Linked DNA regions of Mus musculus. The protein of the gene in region 1 purifies or fractionates together with the protein of each later gene. This does not show direct contact. Links are inferred from orthologs where the notes say so. Each region holds a gene or a part of one and is shown in the gene's direction. Other genes may lie near its edges.

Evidence for each region. Proteins that work in one complex are often made in the same cells at the same time.
Region 2: the proteins of Kpna6 (region 1) and Rnmt purify together in Homo sapiens (co-immunoprecipitation; 3 studies listed by BioGRID and IntAct, counting the BioPlex papers as one, with this or other methods). This does not show direct contact. The link is inferred for Mus musculus from reciprocal best matches to the Homo sapiens genes KPNA6 and RNMT.
Region 3: the proteins of Kpna6 (region 1) and Kpnb1 purify together in Homo sapiens (affinity purification with mass spectrometry; 4 studies listed by BioGRID and IntAct, with this or other methods). This does not show direct contact. The link is inferred for Mus musculus from reciprocal best matches to the Homo sapiens genes KPNA6 and KPNB1.

The regions. Positions count from the first base shown.
Region 1 is NC_000070.6:129,646,124-129,648,767, reverse strand, and holds part of Kpna6 (importin subunit alpha-7), read left to right. Parts: intron 1-588; coding exon 589-776; 3' UTR 777-2,644. UniProt on the Homo sapiens protein: Functions in nuclear protein import as an adapter protein for nuclear receptor KPNB1. Binds specifically and directly to substrates containing either a simple or bipartite NLS motif.
Region 2 is NC_000084.6:68,310,355-68,313,854, forward strand, and holds part of Rnmt (mRNA cap guanine-N7 methyltransferase), read left to right. Parts: intron 1-1,253; coding exon 1,254-1,366; intron 1,367-3,310; coding exon 3,311-3,492; intron 3,493-3,500. UniProt on the Homo sapiens protein: Catalytic subunit of the mRNA-capping methyltransferase RNMT:RAMAC complex that methylates the N7 position of the added guanosine to the 5'-cap structure of mRNAs. Binds RNA containing 5'-terminal GpppC.
Region 3 is NC_000077.6:97,161,552-97,163,892, reverse strand, and holds part of Kpnb1 (importin subunit beta-1), read left to right. Parts: intron 1-378; coding exon 379-540; intron 541-1,211; coding exon 1,212-1,212; 3' UTR 1,213-2,341.

The DNA.
Region 1 (2,644 bases):
TGTCCCACCATCTCCTCCTCCCTCTGAGGAGCCATAGGTCAGTGCTGTTCTCATAGACACCACCTACCTCAAATGTATGCAAGGAGGAACAGGGTAAAATTTGGTTCTACTACCAGGAGCTAGAAGCTGCATTCCAACAGTCTCTCCTGGAAAACCCTGATTGCCTTAACCAACCCATCTCAGATGATTAGCTCAGATGTTAATTAGATGTTAACTAGCTCACCATGATTAGCTCAGAGTTAGCTTGCAACAGAATTTGGTCTCAACCCTCTAGTCAATCACATTGTATATGTGTGTGCAGACCAGAGGTCAGTCTGAGCTATCACTCCTCAGAGTAATCTAGGTTAACAAGCCAACCAGAAAACAAACCCCAGCTGGTTTGTCCCGACTGTATCCTCTTCCCACAACCCCTGCTAGGGTTACAGGCCCCGGCCACCATTCCTGGCCTTGCATCCTGGGGAGTGAACTCAGGTTTTCAGGGCAAGCACTTTACACAAGCCAGGGGTGGATATGTTCCCACTGCTTTTGGTTGGGAACTTGTACTTCAGGAAAGGAGAGGTACAGACCTGTTTTCTTCTTACACCGTAGGCTTGGATAAAATTGAGTTTCTCCAGAGCCACGAGAACCAGGAAATCTACCAGAAGGCCTTTGACCTCATTGAGCACTACTTTGGTGTAGAGGATGACGACAGCAGCCTGGCTCCTCAGGTGGATGAGACGCAACAGCAGTTCATCTTCCAGCAGCCTGAGGCCCCCATGGAGGGCTTCCAGCTATAATGTCTGCCTCCGGGGAGGGGAGGGCACGGGAAGCACCAGCAGCCAGCAGAGAGAGGAGCAGCCTTCTGGTGGGCAGGAGAGCAGCCACCCCACCAGCAGCCCCGCACACCTGCTGCCCCGAGACTGTGCTCTCGACCTGTTCATCCCCTTCCCTGGAGGGAGCAAGCGCCCTCTGGACAGACAGAACCATCTGAGGCTCACATTGGGTTTTGAGACAAGAAGGGGACGTGTGGGTTTCTCTTCCTTACACTATTTTGGCTGCACATGTCTTTAACCCAGGAGCCCAGGGGTAGACAAAGGAGGACTGAGGTAATCAATTTGCACCTTTAAAATTTTTTTCTTTTATTTTCTTTAGTGGTGACTTCCTTCCCAATTATCTTTCTTCATCCATCCCAGTCCTCTGCCCTGACGTGTGTAACTCTTGGGTACTTGAGCAGATGGAATATTCCAGAGGTGGGAGGTGGGAGGGGAGGGGAGAAGTCCCAAACAAAGTGTTCTTGCTCTGACCCATATTAATCTTGTATGCTTGGATTATTTAATTTTTTCTTTTGCACATTTTTCTTGTATTAAGGTTGTTCTTCCCAAAAAGCTGGATTTAGTAACCCAGCCACCAGCATCGTCTGGAAATAGAGGCTAATGGGGAGGCCCCCATGAGACAAAGATCCCTCCCTCCCTCTAACCCTATGCCTAAGACCTCTTTAGTTTGGGAGGATCCCCCTCACTCTCCTGGAGCAAGTATACCAGTGGAGTGGAAGGGAGGGGCACAGGCCTTTAGACAGGGCTTCTCCTGTGTAGCTACTGACCCTGTTTCCTACCCACCTCCTAAATGGTGCGACCCAACTTCATTTGTTTACTTGAAAATTCACCTCAGAGTTGAATGAACCTCTGAGGTGGCTGTGTTTTCTCCTGAGCTTGAGATGGGGGGCTGTGGTCCTTCCTTCTCCTGAGGAGAAAGTCCTTGCTCTGATGACCCCTAAGTTGCAGAGGAGGTTGGAGTTAGTGTCGTGTATCGGGATAGTCATGAATCCCTGCCTTTGGCCTTTCTTCTTCCTTCTGCCATAGCTGGATCATGTATATTTCACTTCCAAAGGAGAGAATGGCAAAAAGTTCTGTTGTTTTTTTAATAGTCTGTATTTTAAGTAGGTCAGTCTTAATTGGTTTTAGGAGGACAAACTGGATGTGAGTGGGATACTGTGAGGAAGACCAGAAAGACGAACAAGTTTCTGCTCACAGGGCTGAACTCAGTCCTTATTTTCTCTGCTTGTATTCTGGGCCACCACTTGGGACCAACTCTCACTTCTGGAACCTTTATGAAGTAAATCAGCTGGGTCTGATTGTTCCCAGCCTGAAGGGAGCAAGGCCTGATGGAGTCTGCTGCTCTCTCTGTTCCTTGCTCCCAAGCAAAAAGCATCCTGCCTTCTCTAACTCACTGTTACCCACAATGAACCCTGTTGGCATCTCCCTTCTAAAGATCCTTGTACCTAGCTTGCATTTCCCTTTCTCCCTCTTTCCCCCTCCCACCTCTCTCCCCCCTCCTCCTCTCTTCCCTCCCTCTCTCTCCCCCTCCCTCTCTCCCTCCCTCCTTCTTGAATAAAGACAGTTCAGTACCTCAGAGGCTGACCTGTTTTCAGGGGTTACACAGTACACTAAAACCAAGCTCTGGGAGCTGGGTACAGTGTCAGCTGGGCAGACCACCTGTGGAGGTGGCAGCACAGTGCCCTGCTGTGGTGATCCCCCACACCCTTAGCCGCTCTCTAGAACAGCACTGTTCCTCCTGTTCCAGCAGATCTCTCTGTGCCCCACATTTGCAGATCTGAAGTTGAGGTTCTTGCTGCTGGCCTCTGCCTTTCCGTCTGCCGTCTCTCCTT
Region 2 (3,500 bases), on another chromosome or scaffold:
GGCTGTAAATGAAAGGTGGTGTTAGCCTTTCTCAGATAATTGTAGCTTCATCTTTGGGGAGAAGTCAGGCAGCCAGTAATTCTGTAAGGGGAATTAGGTGTGGGATCTGTAAGGGGATTAGATGTGGGACCTCCTGGCAAGCACTGCATAGTCCCTTACTTTCAGACCCATTGGGCTGTCTTATATTTTCAGAATGGTTTCAGAATACCCGGAAAGTACTGTTTGCTGAAGTTATCTTGTGACTCACACCAAGAAATCACATTTTCGTAATATTATCACCAATCACAAAGGTGGTTGATAGAAATTTTTTTTTCCTCAGAATTGTGATTTTTTTTTTTTGAAAGTCAAATTTTATCTCTGGCAATAAGCACTATCCATTGTGTCCCTTGAAATGACCCTGTGCATCTTCAATAATACATGTGTGGTAGAGTTCAAGAGCCATTCTTTGAAGCTCAAGTAACTCTTTTTAAACACACTGCAATGTCAGCTCACAACCCGAGATGTGCTGGGTGCTGCTAGTGACAGGAAAAGACAGCTCATCCCCATGGTGATGCTCAGAGATGGGAATCAGAGCCAAGGTCGAGCTTCTCCTGTTTTAGGGAGGACGTTCTAAGTGAACACTGGCTTTCCCCGCTGGTGTATGGTAGTGAAGAACTCAGGACACTCCACAGTACCATTTGGTGCCACTGCTCTGCATGTATGACTTTACCTGTCATTGCTTTCCTGTCCCAAGTGCAAATGTCACAGCAAGGAGAACAGGTGCATTTCAGTATGAAAACAATGACTTGATATTTCACAAAATGAGCTGATAGATGTTGTTAGCTTTTACAGTTCAAGTTGGAATCTGAGTTTTCTGCCTCATACTTGAATGAATATTTAAAACCTGGCTCGGTTCGTAAAAGCTCTTGCTGTGTGAGCCTGATAAATTCTCAGAACCCGTGATGGAGGGAAAGACCCAATTCCTGAAAGCTGTCCTTTGACTTCCACACACATAGTGATGATAAAACTGATCATCTTAGCCTTGGCTTGCATAAGTACTACCAAGGAAGCTCTACGGGGACGGGGAAACTGCTTATTCTATATGGAATGTAGTTGAACATTTACATGAGCAAAGGAAAAGGAAACAAGGTCTTCATTTAAAGGAAGGGAAAGACCCCTGCATCCTTTCCCTTATCTTATGCCTGGGTCTCAGGCCACGGTGTTGCAGCTGAGTTGCTAGTCCGTGTTGACATTTCCTCCTTTTACCCTGCCAGATATCGCTGATATTTCTATGAAACAATGTCAACAGCGTTACGAAGACATGAGATGTCGTCGCGATAATGAGCATATTTTTAGTGCAGAATTTATAACTGCTGACTGTTCAAAGGTACAGATTTTTAGTTTTAATTTTTATGTTTATGTTTATGTATATCAGTGTTTGCCTGCATTTGTGTTAGTGTGCACCACATGCATGCCTGGTAGCGATGGAGGCCGGATGAGGGTATCGGAATTGGAACTGGAACTAAGGACAGTTTTAAGCTGCCAAGTGGGTTCTAGGAATCCAACCTGTGTCCTCTACAACGAGCAGCAAGCCATCCCTCCAGCCTCATGCTTTCTTTTTACAGTGCCAGGATCAAGTGCAGGCTCTCACACCTGCTGCAGCTCCCATTTTTAAGACTGATCCATTTGTTAAATTGTGATTTGAAACAAACATTAAAAATCCTAGGGCATGCATTTTCAATTTATTACAAATTCTGTTATAATAAATCCTTGGATACTTTTAGACAAGTTTTACTTTTAATAAATGGGTATCTTGAAGTCTCTTTTGCTTTTTGATTTGGGCAAGATTTGTTTTCATCCTCGTTTTCAAGGCTGCAAGCAATATATGACTAACTAGACAGGTACTATTTAAAGATTCATAAATCCCTTGGTATCCCTAAAGTCCCAGAGTCTACAGAAGTTCAAAGTCCCTTATATAAAATGGCATATATTTGTGGGTAACTATACACATAGTTATATGTACTTTAAAAGCCTGTTTAGATGATTTTAGTATGGTACTGAATATAGTGAAGATGCTGTGTAACTAGTCGTCACACTGTTTAGGAAATAAGTGTCAAAATTGTCTACATATTCATTTAAACAATACATTTTCCTCTTATCTTGAATCCATCATTGGTTGACTTCCCTGTCCCAGAGCCTGAGGATATGAATGGCTGCTTTATTTCACAATAGACCTGGACTTAAATGCATGTTTGTTCACCTTGTAGTTTATAAGGACGGCTTCCTGTCAGATCAGAACCACTGTGTGCTTTTCACCTTCCATTGTTCCTCTGAGATTCTCAACTGCAGTAATCTTCTTTAAGTATTTAAGAGCTTTTAAATAGTACCTGTCTAGTCAGTCATATATTGCTTGCAGCCTTGAAAACGGGGGTGAGAAATGTGTGTGCTGCTTAACAGGTGAAAACTTAAGTACTGGTTCTTTTGGATGCCAAGGGTTGAATGACCCAAGTGACTGTTGAATGTCAGTTTATTTTAGCTCTCAAGACCAACTGAAATGTTAGGCAACATTTTTATTTATTTATTTAACGTGCGTATAGTGTGTTTGGGGGTGGTACATCCGTGACACAGCTTCCATGGCAAGTCAGGGGTCTCCAGCTTCGTTTTCACCTTCCACTTTGTTTGAAGGGAAAACCTTTCTTGTTTGTTCCTGTCCTTTAGACCTCAGGTTTGTGAGTTTTGAGAGGATTCCCCTGTGTCCACCTCGTCTCACCATAAGAATGGTCAGGCTCCTGACACATCCTGCTGTGCCCTGAGTTACATGTCTCCCAAGGCCACAAACTCAGGCTTGCAGGCTTGCAGGACCTAACACTTTACCTACTGAGTCATCTCTCTGGCCTGACATATTTTAGCATGATTTCAGAATTCCCCACTTTTTAAAGGTCACCATGAAAATCAAAATCTTGATTATTTTATGTTTGTGCTGAGTAGATGGGTGGGTATTGGTGAATATTGGGTATTGTTCCTCTTCCCTGGGACAGGGTTTCTTGAGGCTGGCCAGGGAGCTCTGCACACTGCGTCTGCCTCTCACTTTCACTTGCGCTATCTACCCAGACCTGTAGATGTTTAGGTCAGGGTAAGAAAGAATGCTTTTATGAAGTGGTCCTTGCTATAATATATACATGACAAAGAATAAATCAAAGATTGGCGAGAACTATTGATTACCTGTCAGGGAACAGCTACTTTAAGAGCCCTAAATTCTAGTAACTTACTAAAAACTTTTAATCTATGTTGTAATTAGTTTAAAATACTAACCCATTTACATTTGTTACAGGAACTTTTGGTTGAAAAATTCCGTGACCCAGAAATGTACTTTGATGTCTGCAGCTGCCAGTTTGCTTGCCATTACTCCTTTGAGTCCCAGGTGCAGGCGGATACGATGCTTAGAAATGCCTGCGGGAGGCTTAACCCTGGCGGCTATTTTATTGGCACCACTCCCAATAGCTTTGAACTGATGTAAGTAA
Region 3 (2,341 bases), on another chromosome or scaffold:
TGGGTCCTGGGGATTTAACAGCAGGCAGCTTTACCCACTGAGCCGGGGCTACCATATAGCTCTTCTGAGACCCTGAGGCTATACTGGGACATAGCTTTACAGCTCAAAGGCCTAGTGCAATTTCCCTTTTTTTGAGAAGGTCTTGCTATGTGGCCCGTGTTGACATTGAATTCATGATCCTTGTCAGCTTCTTCCTTGATTTCTGACATTACAGGGTTGTACCATCACACTCAGTGAGCTACAGCCTTGGGCAAATCTTGAACTGATTTGCCCAATTGATTCCAGAAATCTCTTACAAACAATTTTTAAGAAGCGAATGGATGCTAAGAAACATAGAGTTGCCTCACTCAGTCATTCGTGGGTGTTTGTTTTGCACAGGGACTTGTGTACAGCCTTCGGGAAGGATGTACTGAAGTTAGTAGAAGCTAGGCCAATGATCCATGAACTATTAACTGAAGGGCGGAGATCGAAGACTAACAAAGCAAAGACCCTCGCTACGTGGGCAACCAAGGAACTGAGGAAACTGAAGAACCAGGCTTGGTAAGCTCTTGTCTGCACTCTCAGGTCTCAGGAGGGTTTATGTTCTATAGGATTTCTAATATTCGCTGCCTACTGGTATTTTGGCTACACACTTTTTGGTACCTGTGTTTGAGCAGGCAGCCAGACACAGCCAGACAAATATTTCTAAGCCATATATTTGAGTCCTTGTGTTGAACGACAACACAACTCACTGACCAAGACACTGAAAATACTTTGGAACCTAATAAAATGTTCCCATATTTGTTCTCTTTCTACTCCTCCATGTCCTTTTTTATTTGTGCAGAGTGGAGGGTCTTTTTGTAGTCTGCTAGCCTAGATACTGCTTTGTAGATTAGACTGGCCTCAAAGTCAGACACCTGCCTTTGTCTCTCCCTCCTGAGTGCTGGGTTTAAAGGCGTGCACCTCCGTGTATGTATGGCCTTGCATGACCATTTATTTGCTTGGTTTCTGGAAATTGAACTCAGGACATCACAAATTGAAGTAAGCACATTTACCACTGCACTACAATATATGCTTATATATGGCAGCAGGTATACAGAACAAAGGAAGAGAAGAAAAATAATCAATCTTTAAGACTTGATGGGTCCCATTTTTAGCTTTGGGCTACTTGGTTGTAGGAGTTGGGGATACATATGACCTCAGAGTTGACCTCTTCGTCCTTTTGTTTTTAGATCTGGTACCACTGGGATGATGACCTGAGACCCCCACTGGAAATCTCCAATCTTTTGAAAAACCCGGAAGTGAGGAGTGTGCACGGATGCTGAATGCTTGGGAATGAGAGGATGAGTGAGTGAGGCTTGAAAACACCACACTGAAAATCCTGCCACAGCCAACAGCAGCAGCGCTGTTAGACATGAGCTAAGTAAGCACTGAGTTTGTAGAAAACATAACATCAGCCATCTTGGAACAGAGAAACAATGGATTTACTTACTTATTAAAAACAAAAAAGCTGTCTCTTCCCAGGGAAGGCTAGAACTAGCTTTCCTGTCTTGGCCGGTGCCGAATGGGTGACTGATTTGGGAGAGGAGGACCTGGGTTCACCTGTGGGGCTGTGTTGTGAAAGGCAGCCTGGCCCCTGCTACTGAGGAGAAAGATGGAGCCCGGGTCTTGAGCCCACCTTCACTGTACCGTTGCACTTGGTACTGTCTATGTGCCCTTGAGAAGGCGCGTGGGGGATTTCACAGTCTGAGAATGAGTGTGTGTGAGTGAGGCGGTACCCACATTCTCAACTTCAAGTCATTGCAGTTTCTTTTTCCCAGAAAACAAAGGGGTTTGATGTTGCATTTCATAAACTAACTGAAGTTCTGGCTACTGATGCAGCACAAGAGACGTGTTTTTTTTTTAAATGAGGAAAGACGCTGTTTAGGTTTGGTTTGGTTTCATTTTAATTACTCTAGGGAAAACACTGACGAATGGTCAGCGCTCCTGTCCTGATCTTTTCATCAAGGCGCCTTTCCTGTACTATGGTTCAGCTGTGAATGTAGCTATGGGGGGAGGGGGGAGAAAGGAGAACTCTGGAGTTAGAGGATATAGAAAATAAAAGTACAGTTGTTACAAAGAAAATGCAGACTTCAAAGACAGAAAAAGCCACAACCCAAACCAAAATTTAAATGCTTGAAATTGGCATCATAAACAAGCTCTCTCCTGACTTGTATTGTGGCAGTCGGAATGCCCCCAGAAAACTGTGCCAAAGAGTTTAGAAAACAAATGTACAATAAAAGTAAATACACTCAAAACCGCAAACTTCAGGTAACTATTTTGAATTGCAAATGACGAAAATTTAATGTTGAACGATCTGATA